Linked DNA regions of Sus scrofa. Each later gene encodes a partner of the first gene's protein in a complex. Links are inferred from orthologs where the notes say so. Each region holds a gene or a part of one and is shown on either strand. Other genes may lie near its edges.

Region 1 (3,558 bases):
GGAATCAAACCCGAAACCTCATGGTTCCTAGTTGGAGTTGTTTCCATTGAGCCATGATGGGAACTCCTATTTTTGAAATTTTTTATAGTCATTTTTATTACTTTATGATGAAAAGAATCCCAATTAATTGGGGAAAGAGTCATACCAAAAAATAACCCAGCAACCCAATACTTTTTGTCAATGGAAAAGGTAAAAGTTTTGCACTTTATTTTTCTACACCCTCTCCCCATCGATTGCTTAATTTCCCATGGCAGTTACGACACATGGATCCCAGCCAGTGAAATTGAAGCATCTGTGGAAGATGCTCCAACTCCTGAGAAACCCAGAAAGGTAAGCTTTTCTTGTCCATGCCCACCCTCCCCAAGAAGAATGTCAGGGCCAGACCCCTCTCTGGAGGTGAAGCAGAGGCTCCTCTGTTAAGGGTCCCCAGGCAGAACTGGGGTTTCCAGGCCTCCCTCCAGCACAGTCTGCCTTTGTACTTCAGGTTCACGCAAAGTGGATCCTGGACACAGACACCTTCAATGAATGGATGAATGAGGAAGACTATGAAGTGAATGATGACAAAAACCCTGTCTCGCGCCGAAAGAAGATATCAGCCAAGACATTGACAGACGAGGTGAAAACTCCTTTTCTTCTTGAGCCCTTAGCACAAGTCTTGGAATAAGTCTTCATCAGAGATTGTTGGCTGACATTTGCTGCAATTCTCCAACCTGCAGGTGAACAGCCCAGATTCAGATCGACGGGACAAGAAAGGAGGGAACTATAAGAAGCGGAAACGCTCCCCCTCTCCTTCACCGACCCCAGAAGCTAAGAAGAAGAATGCCAAGAAAGGGTAGGCCAGCCCCTCACCCCCTGCCTTCACTGCTCTGTCCATGCTTTTCCCGTAACCACCAGACCCCAACCTGGGTCAGCCTGAGAGGGAGGATGAGGAGGCCTTTTGTTGTCAAGTGGCTGGTTCTGGTCCCGGCCACCGGGAAGCGCAAAGAGAGCTTAATCTCCAAATTCGAGGCTTTTGCCTCTTCCCTTTACTCTGTAGTGATTGTTTCCTCTTTTTGCTCGGCTCTGCCCCCGGATTTTCTCTCTCTCTTTTTTTTTTTCCCTTCCAGTTTTTTTGAGGTGTAGCTGACATACAGCCCTGTATAAGCTTAAGGCATACAGCATCATGATTTGATTTACGCATGTCATGAAGTGATTATCACTGTGAGTTCATGAACATCCATCATCTCATGTAGATAACATAATTAAAGACAGAGAAAAATAAATTAACTTTTTTTCTTATGCTGAGAACTCTGAGGATTTACTCTCTTAGCAATTTGCATGTGTCCCATATGGCAGTGTTATTTTTTTCCCGCTTTTATTGCCTTTTTAGGGCTGCTCCCTCGGCATATGGAGGTTCCCAGGCTAGGGGTCTAATTGGAGCTGTAGCCACCGGCCTACGCCACAGCCACAGCAACACCAGATCCAAGTCGTGTCTGACCTACACCACAGCTCATGGCAACACCAGATCCTTAACCCACTGAGCAAGGGCAGGGATCGAACCTGCAACCTCATGGTTCCCAGCTGGATTCGTTTCCGATGCACCACGATGGGAACTCTGGGCAATGTTCATTATGTTTATCATGGTGTTCGTCACAGACCCTTTGGGAGTCCCTCTTGCCTCCCTTCCCTTGAAGCTCTCCCTCCAGGGATTCCTTGTCCAGAGATGACAGGATTCTCTTTCCCTCTCTTTCCTTCCCAGTCCCTCAACACCTTACACCAAGTCAAAGCGTGGCCACAGAGAAGAGGAGCAAGAAGACCTGACAAAGGACATGGATGAGCCCTCACCGGTTCCCAATGTGGAAGAGGTGACGTTGCCCAAAACAGGTATGGGCCCAGCCAAGCTCCTGGACCCCACCCCCACCCCCATCCTCCCTGTCCTGGGTCAAACCACCTGACCTCCCAGACCCAGCTCCAGGTCTAGGGCTTCTTTCCCTTCAACATAGCTGGTTATTAAAACCATTTTCATCACCACAGACAATCCTCGAACTTCATATTCCTGTCTGGGTTGTGGACTGTGCTCTGTGCCTGACAGTAATTGTCTCCAAAGGTCTTTTGGATTAAATACCACTGTCAATATTGAGCACAAGTTATATACATGTACCCTTTACCACTACTTTGGGAACATTATAAACACACTAATACATTATCTAAAAATGGGAAAACAAAAAGGATAAGATTAAAAAGAATATAGGAGTTCCAACCCCTGGCCTTGCTCAGTGGGTTAAGGATCCAGCGTTGCCGTGAGCTGTGGTATAGGTCACAGACGCGGCTCGGATCTGGCATTGCCGTGGCTGTGGTGTAGGCCAGCAGCTATAGCTCTGATTAGACCCCTAGCCTGGGAACCTCTGTATGCTGCAAAAAGACTAAAAAAAAAAAAAAAAAAAGAACTTACAGACACATAGATGGAATAAGGGCCTGACAAAGACAAGGATGATGGATGAATTACATAGAGTAGAAGATGCTTCTTTTTAAGAAACAAATTGAGTTAAATGAATTTTTGGTTGGGGAAGGGGAGAAAGCGGCAGGGGAGTTTCCGGCCCTAGAATGATTGCAGCTGGAAGACATTACTACAGTTTGTGATGAGGTGGAACAAGTTTTTGGAGAAAGCGAGCTCTCTGGAACTGTTAACAGTGGAGAGGCAAGGTCTTGATTTGGGCAGAAACTGCCTGGTAAAATGACTCTCTCCTCTGGCAGTCAACACTAAGAAGGACTCAGAGTCAGCCCCGGTCAAAGGAGGCACCATGACGGACCTGGGTAAGATGGGGAGCAAGAGGAAGGAGGCGCGGGGCCTTTCAGAAAGCGCACCTGTCCTCTGGCCCGCAGGGCCTCCTATCCTGCCTTCTCTCTGCTGTCGCTCTCTTTCAGATGAACAAGAAGATGAGAGCATGGAGACTACGGGCAAGGTGGAGCCAGTTTAGAGAGGCCCTGCCCCTCTGTGCTTCTGACTTGTGATTATAAAGTTCCTTCTCCCCAGAACTTTCCTCTGCCCAGACTTTTCCCACCCTAGACGAAGTCCAGCTGTTGCTCAAAACTCTGACCCTTGGAGTCCTGGGGCCCCTAACAGCTCATTCCCACCCCAGTCTTCAGTGCCAGCATTCCTGGGTGTGGGAGAAGCAGGGTCTGCCGGGGGGCGGAATGGGAATGCTCGGAGTCCAACAGCCTCCATGCTCATAGGATGAAGATGAGAACAGTACGGGGAACAAGGGAGAGCAGACCAAGAATCCGGACCTACACGAGGACAATGTGACCGAACAGACCCACCACATCATCATCCCCAGCTACGCTGCCTGGTTTGACTATAATAGGTATTGTTGCTCCAGCTTCTCCCTAAATCCTTACTTCCCTGCCGCCAGAGGTCAGCGTGTTGTTCCTCCTCCTGCCTCTAAATAAGTTATCTCTTCCTTAGCCATACAGACGGGGGTACAGTTCAGTTTGAGGGGCGCCCCTAGGAGTCTCGTTGAGTCTTCCAGCCTCGGTGGGAAGTTCTCCTTAAGCATCTCATCTCCTTCCTGATGCCCC
Region 2 (4,295 bases), about 5.6 Mb from region 1:
TGCAGCTGAAGCAGCAGGGTGCTGACAGGTGGCAGCTGAGGTCTTTAGTCAGTGGCCTTTCCCTCCTGGCTGCCCAGGCCCCTTTGCTCACCTAATACCCAAGCCCACCACTTATATTTTCTGGTAAGGTATGGTTTGGTAGCGGGAGGAAAGAGACAGGCCTAGAGGGGAAGTTAAAACTCTGCCGTTCTGTCCCTCCCTTCCTACTTTAATGAGAAACCTGTGAGGCCAAGGACCTGCCGTGCCTCCTCCACCAGGCGCTCCCCTCAGGCCAGAGCGCTGCCTCTTCCCAGGCCTTCTCTGCCCAGCTGTCTCTCAGTCTCCACCCCCAGAACAAGACCTGTGGCAGGTCACCTGTGCATTGACCTGGAGCTGCAGGGTGAGGCTGTAGGATCTTTGGGAACTCTGGGTTCCTGGGAACTCCTAGGAGATCAGACCTCTCCAGAGGGAAGCAGGAGCAAGGCCAAAGGGTGTGCACCAGATGGGGAACAGCAGGCAGGGCTATGGGTGACGCATGTCTCTGGTCTAATAAACTGGGTTTCAACCATCTCCTCTTCAGTGTCGTTCTTCTCTTATTTGAATAGTATGTAGGACTTCCTACTAAGAGCTGACCTTGGATTGGGGCCAATCAGGGGAGGAGTAAGGGAGCCAGAGCAGGGATACGCTGGTCCTGGGATGGGACAAGCTGACCATCACACCAGAAATGGTTTGAACCACTGGGCAGGGAAAGAGGAAGAGATCAAAGGTTAACAAAGATCCCAAAGAGAAATCCTAGTACAAAGGAGGCTTTGGAGACGGCGTGGGGTCAAACTTCAAAATATACTTAAAATCTGGAAGCAGGTTAGGTTAAAGGTCAGGGGAAAGGCTGGGTTGAAGTTCTAGCATTAGGTAGTTATTGAGGCACTTTATCTGTGGCATGAGCCCTGGGCTATGAGCCAGACCTGGATTCTAAGCCTTGGCTTTCGCGTTAACTTGCTGGTTGACTACACCGAGTCATTTCCTCTCGAGTTCACCTCTCCTGTTTGCAAAATGGAAAGGTGCGTCCTCCTCTTCGGCTCCTGGGCTTAGAGCCGGAGGAGAAGGAAAAGAAACACGCGCTTTGGAAAGTTAAAACGCCCTGCGCCCAGATGAAGCAGTTACTCCATCACCCTCTTCATCAGAGCTTTGGGACGGTGCTGTGGTCCCCCTTTCCAGGTCCTTGTCTTCCTCCCGCCGGCCTGGGGGCGCCCGCTCACGGGCCTCTCTATCCCAGAGCTCTTCTCGATGGTGTTCCCTGCCGGACCGCGAAGGCTGGAGGGAGTGGTCAGCACGCTTTTTCCGCTCGTCGCCCCCCTCTAGCCCACAGTCTCGCTGCCCTGGGCCTCCCGTGCCGGCGGGCCGGCCGGGCGGACAGGCGGGCGCGCTGGGGGCGCGCGGGGGCGGGGGGAGTTCCGGTTCCGGTTCTTTGTGCAGCTGCAGCAGCGGCTCCGGGAAAGATGGCGGCCCGGGCGGGTTTCCAGTCTGTGGCTCCGAGTGGCGGCGCCGGAGCTTCAGGCGGGGCGGGCGCGGCGGCTGCCCTGGGCCCGGGCGGGACTCCGGGGCCTCCGGTGCGAATGGGCCCGGCGCCGGGTCAAGGGCTGTACCGCTCCCCGATGCCCGGAGCGGCCTATCCGGTGAGTGGGGCAGGAGGAGGGGCGCGCGGGCCGGGGGCGGGGCCGAGCGGGGGCCTGGGAGTGACGGGGTGGGGGGAGGAGTAGGAGGGACTCCCCTGGGAGGGATTCGGTTCGCGAGGGAGGGTCGGGGGAGGCAGTGCGCGGAAGGGAGGGGAGGCGGTTAGCATCCCCACCAGCTCGTAGGGGCATTGTTTCCTTGGGGAGTCGGGGTGTAGAACCAGGGTGAACGAAGCGGGGCCAAGGGTGGGCTTGTGAGAGTTGGAGTGCAAAAAGGCTTAGGCAGCTCCAGTGCCCAGAGGAGCACAGAAGGTGTACCTGGCAAATTGAGGTCAGCTTTTGAGGAGATGGTAGCTGGCTGTGCTGTCTGAGTACTGGGAGCAGAGGAGATGTCCAATGGCAGATACAAACTAGACTGGGGAGAATTTGAGTATAATCTGCTCTCTTAGCTTTGGGCTGGAGTCCCCTGTGGGATCACAAGTGGAGCAGAGGAAGCTCCAGTGATCTATATTTCAAAGAGGTAGAGGGGTCTTCTCCCACCCCCCATGCCCCCAGCCTGGTTCGATTCAGAGAACTCAGGCTTCCCCCACTTTCCCTTTCCTGGTGGGGTTTGCAAGGGAAGCCATGACATCTCTGGGTCCTCTCCCCTCTGTAGAGACCAGGTATGCTACCAGGCAGCCGAATGACACCTCAGGGACCTTCCATGGGACCCCCTGGCTATGGGGGGAACCCTTCAGTCCGACCTGGCCTGGCCCAGTCAGGGATGGACCAGTCCCGCAAGAGACCTGCACCTCAGCAGATCCAGCAGGTCCAGCAACAGGCGGTCCAAAATCGGAACCACAAGTAAGATGACCCCAGGGTGGAGAGCGGGAGGGCGGACACAGGTGGTGGGAGTACCTCAAGCAAGAAGTGACGACGCTGTGTCAGCAGACAGTGGAGACTGTTTCGTGTTTGGTGGGGGTGGGGGGTGTCTTTGATTTGAGAGAAGCTTTGCGGTTCTTTCTCTTGACTATAAATGGAGGTGCTGACAGCCTGTCTTCATGTTCTGGCTAGTTCCATCCCAACCTGATAACAGTATTTATTCCAAACAGTGCAAAGAAAAAGAAGATGGCTGACAAAATTCTACCTCAAAGGGTGAGTCCAGGCTGTATAGGTCTTCTTGAGGGTGTGTTGAGTTGGAGAAGAGAGATGGCCAGCTCTAGATCCCAATGATACCTTTCTGTTCCTCAGATTCGTGAACTGGTACCAGAATCCCAGGCCTATATGGATCTCTTGGCTTTTGAAAGGAAACTGGACCAGACTATCATGAGGAAACGGCTAGATATCCAGGAGGCCTTGAAGCGTCCCATCAAGGTAACGCAGGAGAGTGCTAGGCAGAGAGCCAAAGGAGAGGACTCGGGAACCTTCAGCAGGCTAAGGATGAGAAATCAAAGGCATAGCGCCGCTCTCCTTGGCATTTAAATTACATCTCTCCCTTCCGCCTACAAACCGAGAATTACATTAGAAGCATAAGAACAGAACAGCTCAGGGGGAGGGGCTTTTGGTAGTTCTTGCACCAGAAATATACTCTGTTGGTGTTTTTGCTATAACTGCTCTGTCACCTTGGGAACCTGGCACCTCGCATGACTTTGTCTACCTGGCACCCCAGTGCATGCACTTGCATTTGGGCCAGTGGCCTGTGCTCTTCTAGGTGGAATCTCCGTCCACCCACCCCAGGGCCTGGGTAAATAGTAAGCCAGTCTGTTAGGAGACGTTTTGGGGTTTGGGGAGACCCTGGTCTTCAGCGTGAAACCACTGAAGCCCCACTGTCAATCCTGTTTCTGCCTTCCTCAGCAAAAACGGAAGCTGCGAATTTTCATTTCTAACACTTTCAATCCGGCTAAGTCAGATGCCGAGGATGGGGAAGGGACGGTGGCTTCCTGGGAGCTTCGGGTAGAAGGACGCCTCCTGGAGGATGTGAGTTCAAGGTCCACTGTGGTCAGCATCTAGGGTGGGAGCTGCTGGGAACAAGCAGTATTGTCTGGTTGGCAGGAAGCCTGACTGGTGCTCACAGCTCCTGTTGGGAACAGCAGGGAGAGGGTCACTGTGTTCCCTGCGCTAAAAGACAATGGTTCTTTGTGTCTGGCTCCCACAGCCTGGCTCTCTCTGTGGTATCGTATGGAGAACCGTATTGCCCTGGGATTTGATTTGTTGTTTGTCTCCCTCCTGATGCTGCTAGCCCTTGGATTTGGCAGTATCTGCAGATTTTCCAGTTAGGGTTGTTCTGGTTTTGTTTTTGTTTTTTAAACCAAGTGAGTTTGCACTTAGCATTTGAGGCCCTGCTTTCCTCCCAGAGTCCTTGAGGTCCTTGATTCCCGCTGCAGTATTGCCGTCTTCCCAGTTTCCACTGGAGACATTTCACAGTTTCCATGGGCGAGGTCTCTCGGACAGGCTCTTTGCTGCCTCATGGGGAACATCAGCTGACAGGTGATAGCCCCCAGACTTCACACCCCAGAAGCTCCTTGGGGAAGCTCACCTGCCATTCCCTTATATTCTCTTGCTCTCTATTTTTAGCTGTTCACAGGCAAGCCAGTATGAATGCATTTTTCAGGAGAACCAGGGCTCGTGTCAGAGCCTCCTTCTTTTCTATATAGGTCCGGTCCATCT
Region 3 (4,105 bases), on another chromosome or scaffold:
TCCGGATACCCAGGAGGAGCTGCTACTCCCAGAAAGGAAGAGGCGGGCTTTTCCGACCCCCACTCCCCCTGGATGATAAAGCTGTAGCCCACCTGATTCGTGGGGCAGAGCTTCCTTGCCTGCCTGCTGGCATCCCTCACAAGCGTCCTATCCTAATAAATCTATTTCTTGGCTATCACTGTGTCTCTCGCTGAATTCCTTCTGCACGGAAGCATAAAGAACCTGAACCTCAGTGAGTCCAGACCTCAGGTGAGTGCTCGTTTAAAACATGGGTTCAAGCCCCAATCTGTGTTCTGGCTAGGTTCAGGCCATTAATACTGTCAGTTTCAAATGGGTCAACAAAATGTGGTGTGTAAGAGTTCCCCGCGTGGCTCAGTGGTAATGAACCCCACTAGTATCCATGAGGATGCAGGTTCAATCCCTGGCCTCGCTCTGTGGGCTAAGGATCCAGCATTGCTGTGAGCTGTGGTGTAGGTGGCAGACTCAGCTCAGATTACAAATTGCTGTGGCTGTGGTGTAGGCCTGCAGCTGCAGCTCCAATTCCACCCCTAGCCTAGGAACCTCCATATGCCACAGGTGCTGCCCAGAAAGACTTAAAAAAAAATGGCATATATTCATCTGTGCATTGCATATATGCAGACAACAGGAATCTTCTCCTCAAAAGGATGGAATTTCTGACACGTTACAGCATGGATGAAGCTCAAGGCCGTTATGCTCAGTGAAATCAGCCAGTCGCCAAAGGGCAAATACAGAATGATTTCATTTGTATGAAGTACTCAAGAATAGTCAGATTCACAGAGACAGCCTGCGGAGTGACCAGAGCGGCTCCTCTGGCTGCAAGTCCAGGAAGGGATTCTCCGGGGCCAGCGTCCCCGCGGAATCGGTAGTACAGCCCGGAGGGACACAGATTAGACCAGGAGCGTGCACATGCATGACGGGGCGGGGCGGGGGCATCCGTCGGAGCCTGTCCTTGAACCTGGAGTGGAACCGAGGCCCTCTCCCCACTGAGAGTGTGTGTGTCTGTCTGTCTGTGGTCCCATGCGCCTAATGTCTGCGGTCACATCGGACCCTCTGAAGGTCTATGTGAATCCGCGGGCGCAGAGGCGCATCTACAGACGAAGGCACATCTGTGCACTGACTAAATGAACATCACAATGGGCCCGGCCAGTGCGCGCCGCGGTGCTCCAAGCGTGGCGATCGCACATTCGGATGGATGGGGCGACGCTGACTGCTCTGATCCCTAACTCATTATTAAGCTCCTCGCTCTTTGCAGACGCTCCCTGCGCCTCCCCCGCTCCCGGCAGCAGCGGCGCAGGCGCCGGGCCGAGCCGAGCGCCGAGCAGGGAGCGAGCGACCGCGCTCCGGGCCGGGGTCCCGGGGGAGCAGGTGAGCGACCCGCGCCGCGCGGCCCCCAGGCCCTTGGAGGAGACGCCGCCCGGCCGCGCTGCGCCGGCGCCCCGGCCTTCCCTGCTTGGCAGTACCCGTCTTGCCTCTACTGGCATCACCCCTCCTTCCTTTGCCTGGCATCCCTCCTCCCCCCCGCCTGGTACCTCCTCGCCTCCCGCCTGCCTGGCATCCCTCACCGCCCCCCCCCCCCGTCTGGCGTTTCCTTCCCCCCTCCCCTTGCCTGGCATTTCCCTGTTCTCCCTCTGCCTGGCACCTCCCTTCTTACCCCTTCCTGGCACCTTCCTCTTACCTGGCACCCCCTTCTCCCTGCCTGGCTCCCCCCCTCTCCTTTCCTGATCTCTCCCCCCACTCCTGACTCCCCTCGCCCCACCGCCCCGCCTGGCACCTCCCCCCACTCCCTTTCTTGCACCTCTTCCCTGACTGGCAAACTCCCATCCAGCCTCCTCTCTGATTCTTCCCCCTCCACGCCTCACCCGGCTTCTTTCCCTCCTCCCCTTACCTGGTCCCTCCCCTCTCCCCCTCCCCTGCATTCCCCCGTTTTCCCTTTGCCTGGCACTCTCCTGCCTGGTACCTTCCTCTCCTCCCTCGTGTCTGGCACCTTCCCTCCTCCCCAACTGCCTTGTACCTACTTGTCCCCAGTGGCCTGTCCCCTCCTCCCTGCCCAGCACTTTCCTGCCCTGCTCCTGACTGGAGCTTTCCTCCCCACCCCCTCCCTACCTGGCATCTCCCCCCCTCCCCCATGCTTGGCACCCCCACCCCACCCCTGCCTGGCCCAACCCCCTCCCCTGCCCTCCTCCTCCCCCTCCCCCCGCCTGTCTCTCCCCTCTCCCCCCTGCCTGGCCCTCTCCCTCCCCCCTGCCTGGCCCCTCCTTCCCTCCCTTGTGCCCCTTCCTCTTGGCCTCCTCTTGCCCAACACCTCTCCCCCATTCAGATTGTCCCTCTTCCTGCCAGGTACCTCCTCCCCTGCCCCAGGCTGGTAACATCCTCCCCTCTTGGCATCTCCCTCCTCTCACTGCCTCCCTGCCTCCTCACCCTTCTCAGAGTCACCCTCTGGCCAACACCCCCAGCACATGCCCCTGAACTGCTCCCAAGCCCCCACACTGCTCCCAAGCTACCACACTGCCCCCTCCTCGTCCCCCAACCTGCTGTCTGCCCACAAGTTGGGTTCTGACCCTAGCCCACCGCCTTCCTCCCTGGCAGGGGGTGACCACGAAGGCTGGGCACACAGGGAGGGCCCACTGTCGGCTGGGCAGACTACAGAGCGGGTTGGCTCTACTGCCACCCACCCCTAGCTGTCCCTTGGGACATCCTTGAGCTCCAGAAGTCATCCAGGTCCCATCCTGGCTGCCGGTCATGCCCTCCCCACCCCAGTGCCCGGCTCTCTCCTCCACTCTTGACAGGACCCCCCAAAGGTGCTGCCTCTGCCAGGGCCTGGGCTCTGCCAGCTCCTTGACTCGCATCCTTCCAGGCCTGACCTGTAGGCCTTGGTCTCTGACTGCTTCCTGCAGTCACGCTGCCCTTCCTTGTGCCACCCAGCCAGGCTGGCCCAGCCCGCCCCCTGCTCCCTTCCTACGCGCCTCCTGCCTTCCTCAGACCTTGTCATGGAGCTGGTCCACACAGCAGGCCCTTGTGAGTCTGGCTCTGGGGCTCGGGGTCTGGCCAGTCCCTCCCACTGCCCTCTCCTTTCAGATCCCCCCCAGAATGGCCCTTGGTGCTGCAGGCACGGTAGGCTCTGGGCCCGGGCACCGAGGGGGCACTGGATGACTCCCCCGCTGCAGGACCCTGCCACCTATGACTCCAGGCCTTCAGCACCCACCCGCCGTGGTACAGGTAGGCGCTGCTGCCCTCCCCCCACCCCACCCCCGCCAGCCCTGGAGCAGGAGCCTCGGGGTTCCACTGAGAGTCACTGGCTCTCAGCCTCTGGTCCTACCCCTGGGCCCCCTCTTGGCCCTTCTGCCCCGAGCTGGACCTGTGGCAGGGCCTCTTCTCATCCCCTACCCCAATTGGAACCTCTGCCCAGGCCCTGCTGGCAGCCACCTCCACACTGGCCCCCCCTCTTGCTCAGGGTCCCCTTACTTTCCACTGTCCCTGGGTCCTGCCTCTTGAAGCCAGTCGGAGCCAGGGACAAGTGAGCCTCCTCTGGCTTGTTCCATGTCCTCCCCACGGACACCCAGACACACGCCTTCTCGCCCCTCACCTGTGCGCGAGCGCACACACACACACACACACACACACACACACACACACACCCCAGCACACAGCTGGGAGGAAACCGCTGATCCTGGCACAACTTGGGCTCTGGAAACCTACCCCCAAACCTGCTATGGCGAACATCCGAAAGCTTTCTGGGACCCGGACAGGGGTTCGTTCCAGGCAGGAGGGGTGGCGTCCTGTGGCAGGGCCTCTGGTGGAGCTGGCCTTGCCCTGCCACCAGGCAGGCCTCCGGCTCAGAGGTGCTGGCTCTCAGGCCCGTAGTGAGCGCGCCAACTCCCGGCAGGCAGCGTGAGAGGAGACAGCCTGGCTAGTCCCCCGTCGGGGCCCCTGGTGCAGAAGGAAGCGCTGAGGCACCGTGTGGAACGGCCACCTGGCCCAGAGCCCCATTCATCTGCGTGAGGGTGGAGCTGGGTCCGAGACATGCCATCTGGGCTGAGCTCGGCCTGTCCAGCCCCCCGCCCCCGTCACTCTGGTCGCCTCACTG
Region 4 (4,309 bases), on another chromosome or scaffold:
TCCCATTGTGGTTCAGCAGTATTCATGACTAGTATTAGTGAGGATGCAGGTTCGATCCCTGGCCTCACTCAGTAGGTTAAGGATCCATCATTGCCCAGAGCTGTGGTGCAGGTCACAGATAAGGCTCAGATCCAGCCTTGCTGTGGCTGTGGTGTAGGCTGGCAGCTATAGCTCTGATTTGGCCCCTTGTCTGGGAACTTCCATATGCCTCAGGTGCAGCCCTAAAAATAAATAAATAAATAAATAAAAATCATGATCAGCAATTCAATTCAAGTGTGATAATCAGAGATATGAAAGGTAATGGGAAAAAAAAAAAGCTAAGAGAAAAGCAACTGCCTCTGGAAAAGGGTGAAGAGAAGAAAGAGGGTATGAATGCCAGTTTTTCCCTTAACATATTTTCTAAAGCAAATTGATTATCACTTTCACTTTATTTTTTACTTAAAAATTGACGTATAGGAGTTCCTGATGTGGCACAGTGGAAACGAATCCAATTAGGAACCATGAGGTTGCAGGTTCGATCCCTAGCCTCGCTCAGTGGGTTAAGGATCTGGTGTTGCCAGGAAATGTGCTGTAGGTTGCAGACCCAGCTCAGATCTGGCCTTGCTGTGGCTGTGGTGTAGGCCGGCAGCTATAGTTCCTATTAGACCCCTAGCCTGGGAACCTCCATATACCATGGGTACAGCCCTATAAAGCAAAAAAAAAAAAACAAAAAAAAAAAAAAACAAAAAAAAAAAACCACCCAACCAACCAACCAAAAAAACCCCAAAAAACCCAAAAATTGAAGTATAGTTCATTTACAATGTTGTGTTATTGTAAATTGACTATTGATGTGTATATATAATATGGACAACAATTTTAAGTTAAAAGTTCAAAAAAGATCTTGGGAGGAGGGGCAGTGGAGGGGCAGTGTAGGAGTCTGGCTGGGGGAAAAGCACGTGGATGGGGCGGGAAGAGCGAGGCATGGAGATTAAACCAGGGAGGAAAGAAAGTAGTTGAAGATGATGGTGTTGGAAGGAAACTCTGAGGGAGTTCCCCCTGTGGCTCAGCTATTAATGAACCCAACTAGCATCCATGAGGATGGGGGTTCAACCCCAGGCCTCGCTCAGTGGGTTAAGGATCCGGCGTTGTCATGAGCTGTGGTGTAGGTTGCACACGTGGCTTGGATCCTGTATTGGTGTGGCTGTCGTATAGGCCAGCAGCTACAGCTCCGATTGGACCCCTAGCCTGGGAACCTCCATATGTCACAGGTGTGGTCCTAAAAATAAAAAAAAGAAAAAAAGGAAGGAAAGTCCAAAAAGCGAAGTGGAGTGATTGATGGCAGTGGCTTGATGAGAGAGGTGAATGGTAAATGGTGGGACCCAGAGCTAAACTAGGGGCTGGATGAGGCACTTACCGGGGCCTCAGACATGAGCACTGGGTGCAGGTTTGGCTCGGACTTGACGTGTTTGCTGTAGGTGTGATCCAGGATCGCACGGAAGCACTCCCAGTCCTCGACTGGGGCCAGGAGACCAGGGGAGAGATGAAGGTGGGCAGGCGGGTGTCCAGGGACAGGAAGGAAAGGAAGGAGGGAGGCCAAGGCCAATGGAGGAGAGGTGAGACAAGCTCCCGTAGAAATTCCCCCTCCCCAGGAATCTGGTGGCCCCTGGTTAGGAACCAGGCAGCTGTGCAAAGTAGTGAGGGCATCCCTGGGACTTGGGCAGCTGCAAGGAAGACTCCTTGGGTGTGGAGTGCTGTGCCCTGGGGTGAGGGGGGGTGGGCTCCCAGTCTGTGTTAGGAGGCAGTGGGTGCGAGCCCCTTACTCATGCCATTCTTGAGGGGGGACATAACTTCTGCTCCATCCCGAGGCACGTGGAGGGCGTTGGTATCAATGTGAAAGATCTTCCCTTTCTTCTCTTTCTCCCCCTCCAACTCCAGCCCACCCCCCTCCTCTGCGGCCAGCAGCCCCACAGTGGTGGGGAAGTCAGCCTGGAGGGGGGCAAATACAGAGGAAAAATCAATCTCTTGCACCTACCCAGGCCCTTGGCAGGGCTCTCAGCCCATCCCTGGGCTTACTGCCAAATTCCAGCTCAGCAGAGCTTCTTTCTTGGCCTTGAGACCCTAGATCACTGAGAAGCCTGGGGGTGGGGGGCAGGATTTGGGGAGGGGGCTGGAAGGCTCACCTTGGGGCAGTCCTCCCCAGCATACCCAGCGCGGACTGAGAAGGAGCCAATGTCAAAGACCAGCGCGCCCACCTCATCTGTGCGGAGAGACAGACCTGTGAGGGGACCTGTCCCAAACTCTCTCCCCTTGGATTGCTCCGAGAGGAGGTCAGGGCAGAGCCACAGTCTCACCACCTTCAACGTCGGACGGGGCAGGTGGGAGCTCGGCCAGGAGTTCGGGGTCTTGGGAGTGGGGGTCAAGATTCCAAAGTCCCTTTTGACCCGTGGCCCGTGTGCAGGCCACTCTCCTTGCCAGGCTGGGGGCCGGGTGGAGGTGGGTTGAATGATGGAGAGGTTGGGCCGAGTGCGTGCGAGCGTCTGGGAAGGGTCTTAGGTTGGAGCGGTGCAGGACCCAAACCCCGGGTTGGACCCGCTGTAGCGCCGAGTGACAGGCCCCAGAGTGTCCAGAGCTTGGATCGCGCGGGTTCGGGGCGCTGGGCTTCGGGTGAGGCCGCGCCGGGCTGGGGAGCCCGAAGCCCGAGGCTCGCTCACCTCCGCCATAGACGCCCCCGCTCATAGTGCCCTCTCAGCGCTGCTCGCGGCCCGTGGGCGGCGGCGGCGGGATCAGCACCGAGGTGGCCGGACAGCTCCCGGAATCCCGGGAGGGGCGGGGCTCAGAGCGGCCTATCGGGAGGCCGGGTCCCCCGCCCCCAACGGCGCCGCCGATTGGCTGAGAGGGGAGACAATAACTCGACCGGGGGCTGCTGCTTTAAAGGGCCAGACACCTCAACATTAGGCGTCAGGGAGGGAATTAACGGGATCAAGGACCTCGAGGCCCGCCCTAAGGGATAGGCAGGCAAGAAGCAGGAGTAGGCAAGAGATGGAAACCTTGTCCATCCGGAGATCAGGACTCTGTATGGTGACCGACAGGGCTTCTGCTTCCTTATTTTAAAATGGGGTCGAGGAGAGGGCGCCATAGTCTCGCAGACTCGTCCATTCTCAGGCTCCTGAGCAAGGTTCTGCCATACCCTGAACTAAATGAAATCACCAGGAAAGTGGGGTAGGGAAGGAGGAGAGGTAAGGAAACAGGTGTGTCTCGATTTTCTCCCTGTTTCTTTCCACCCTTGTCCTTCTGATGACTCCTCTTTTCCTGCTCATCCCCTAGTGCCTACACCTTATACATACACACGTGTACACACATGTACACGTATTCATACATGGCACTCAGCTAACCTAGCTTTTGCTTCCTTTCCTTTTCGCTCTCTTTATCTATTCCTTTCTGGAGCTATTTATCAAGCAAGCAGGTTTTGTACCAGAGGCTCCTAGGTTTTTCTGGGCATCGCCTGAGGCCACTTGGGGGGGGGAGGGGGTGGGCGGGGTTTGCTTTTTTTTTTTTTTTTGCCATTCCTTGGGCCGCTCCCGCGGCGTATGGAGGTTCCCAGGCTAGGGGTCTAATTGGAGCTGGAGCCATCGGCCTACGCCAGAGCCACAGCAACGTGGCATCCAAGCCGCGTCTGCAACCTACACCACAGCTCACGGCAACGCCAGATCATTAACCCACTGAGCAGGGCCAGGGACGAACCCGCAACCTCGTGGTTCCTAGTCGGATTCGTTAACTACTGCGCCACGACGGGAACTCCGTTATTTTTCGTTTTTTGTTTTGTTTTTTTTTTTTTAGGACCACACCCCGAGGCAAAAGGAAGTTCCCAGGCTAGGGATTAAATCTGAGCTGCAGCTGCCGGCCTACACCACCACAGCCACAGCAACACCAGATCTGAGCCATGTCTTCCTTAAACCTACACCACAGCTTGGTCAATGCCAGATCCTTAACCCACTGATCAAGGCCAGGGATCTAAACTGCATCCTCATGGTTACTAGTTGGGTTTGTTTCCACTGAACCACAGTGGGAGCTCCTCCACAGCAGTTTTGATATTGAAGGCCAAGGATCAACTCTGAAAGTCTGGCTCAGCTGAGACACTCTTTTGTGAGCCTGTGTGTAGGTGTGTGCTTATCTGTGTGTGTTTGAGTGTGTCAGCATGTGTGTGCATATGCACATACATGAATGTATGTGTGAATACTTGTGTGGCTCAGGGGCACTCCTACCTACTTGTTTGGGGGTAAGGGGGACATTAAGACCAGAAGTAGCCAAGGAAGAGGGTTCTGAACAATGG

Evidence for each region. Proteins that work in one complex are often made in the same cells at the same time.
Region 2: SMARCC2 (region 1) and SMARCD1 share a complex: the UniProt entries of both Homo sapiens proteins name them as parts of the BAF complex. The link is inferred for Sus scrofa from reciprocal best matches to the Homo sapiens genes SMARCC2 and SMARCD1.
Region 3: SMARCC2 (region 1) and SMARCD3 share a complex: the UniProt entries of both Homo sapiens proteins name them as parts of the BAF complex. The link is inferred for Sus scrofa from reciprocal best matches to the Homo sapiens genes SMARCC2 and SMARCD3.
Region 4: SMARCC2 (region 1) and ACTL6B share a complex: the UniProt entries of both Homo sapiens proteins name them as parts of the BAF complex. The link is inferred for Sus scrofa from reciprocal best matches to the Homo sapiens genes SMARCC2 and ACTL6B.

What each region holds. Positions count from the first base shown.
Region 1 is NC_010447.5:21,576,757-21,580,314, reverse strand, and holds part of SMARCC2 (SWI/SNF complex subunit SMARCC2), read left to right. Parts: intron 1-254; coding exon 255-330; intron 331-484; coding exon 485-616; intron 617-716; coding exon 717-832; intron 833-1,738; coding exon 1,739-1,863; intron 1,864-2,733; coding exon 2,734-2,793; intron 2,794-2,904; coding exon 2,905-2,942; intron 2,943-3,213; coding exon 3,214-3,344; intron 3,345-3,558. UniProt on the Homo sapiens protein: Involved in transcriptional activation and repression of select genes by chromatin remodeling (alteration of DNA-nucleosome topology).
Region 2 is NC_010447.5:15,991,332-15,995,626, forward strand, and holds the start of SMARCD1 (SWI/SNF-related matrix-associated actin-dependent regulator of chromatin subfamily D member 1), read left to right. Parts: upstream 1-1,475; coding exon 1,476-1,652; intron 1,653-2,304; coding exon 2,305-2,492; intron 2,493-2,740; coding exon 2,741-2,783; intron 2,784-2,879; coding exon 2,880-3,002; intron 3,003-3,482; coding exon 3,483-3,605; intron 3,606-4,295. UniProt on the Homo sapiens protein: Involved in transcriptional activation and repression of select genes by chromatin remodeling (alteration of DNA-nucleosome topology).
Region 3 is NC_010460.4:5,957,181-5,961,285, forward strand, and holds the start of SMARCD3 (SWI/SNF-related matrix-associated actin-dependent regulator of chromatin subfamily D member 3), read left to right. Parts: upstream 1-1,285; 5' UTR 1,286-1,386; intron 1,387-3,096; 5' UTR 3,097-3,198; coding exon 3,199-3,237; intron 3,238-4,105. UniProt on the Homo sapiens protein: Involved in transcriptional activation and repression of select genes by chromatin remodeling (alteration of DNA-nucleosome topology).
Region 4 is NC_010445.4:8,565,955-8,570,263, forward strand, and holds the start of ACTL6B (actin-like protein 6B), read right to left. Parts: upstream 2,821-4,309; 5' UTR 2,716-2,820; coding exon 2,691-2,715; intron 2,237-2,690; coding exon 2,160-2,236; intron 1,966-2,159; coding exon 1,800-1,965; intron 1,495-1,799; coding exon 1,394-1,494; intron 1-1,393. UniProt on the Homo sapiens protein: Involved in transcriptional activation and repression of select genes by chromatin remodeling (alteration of DNA-nucleosome topology).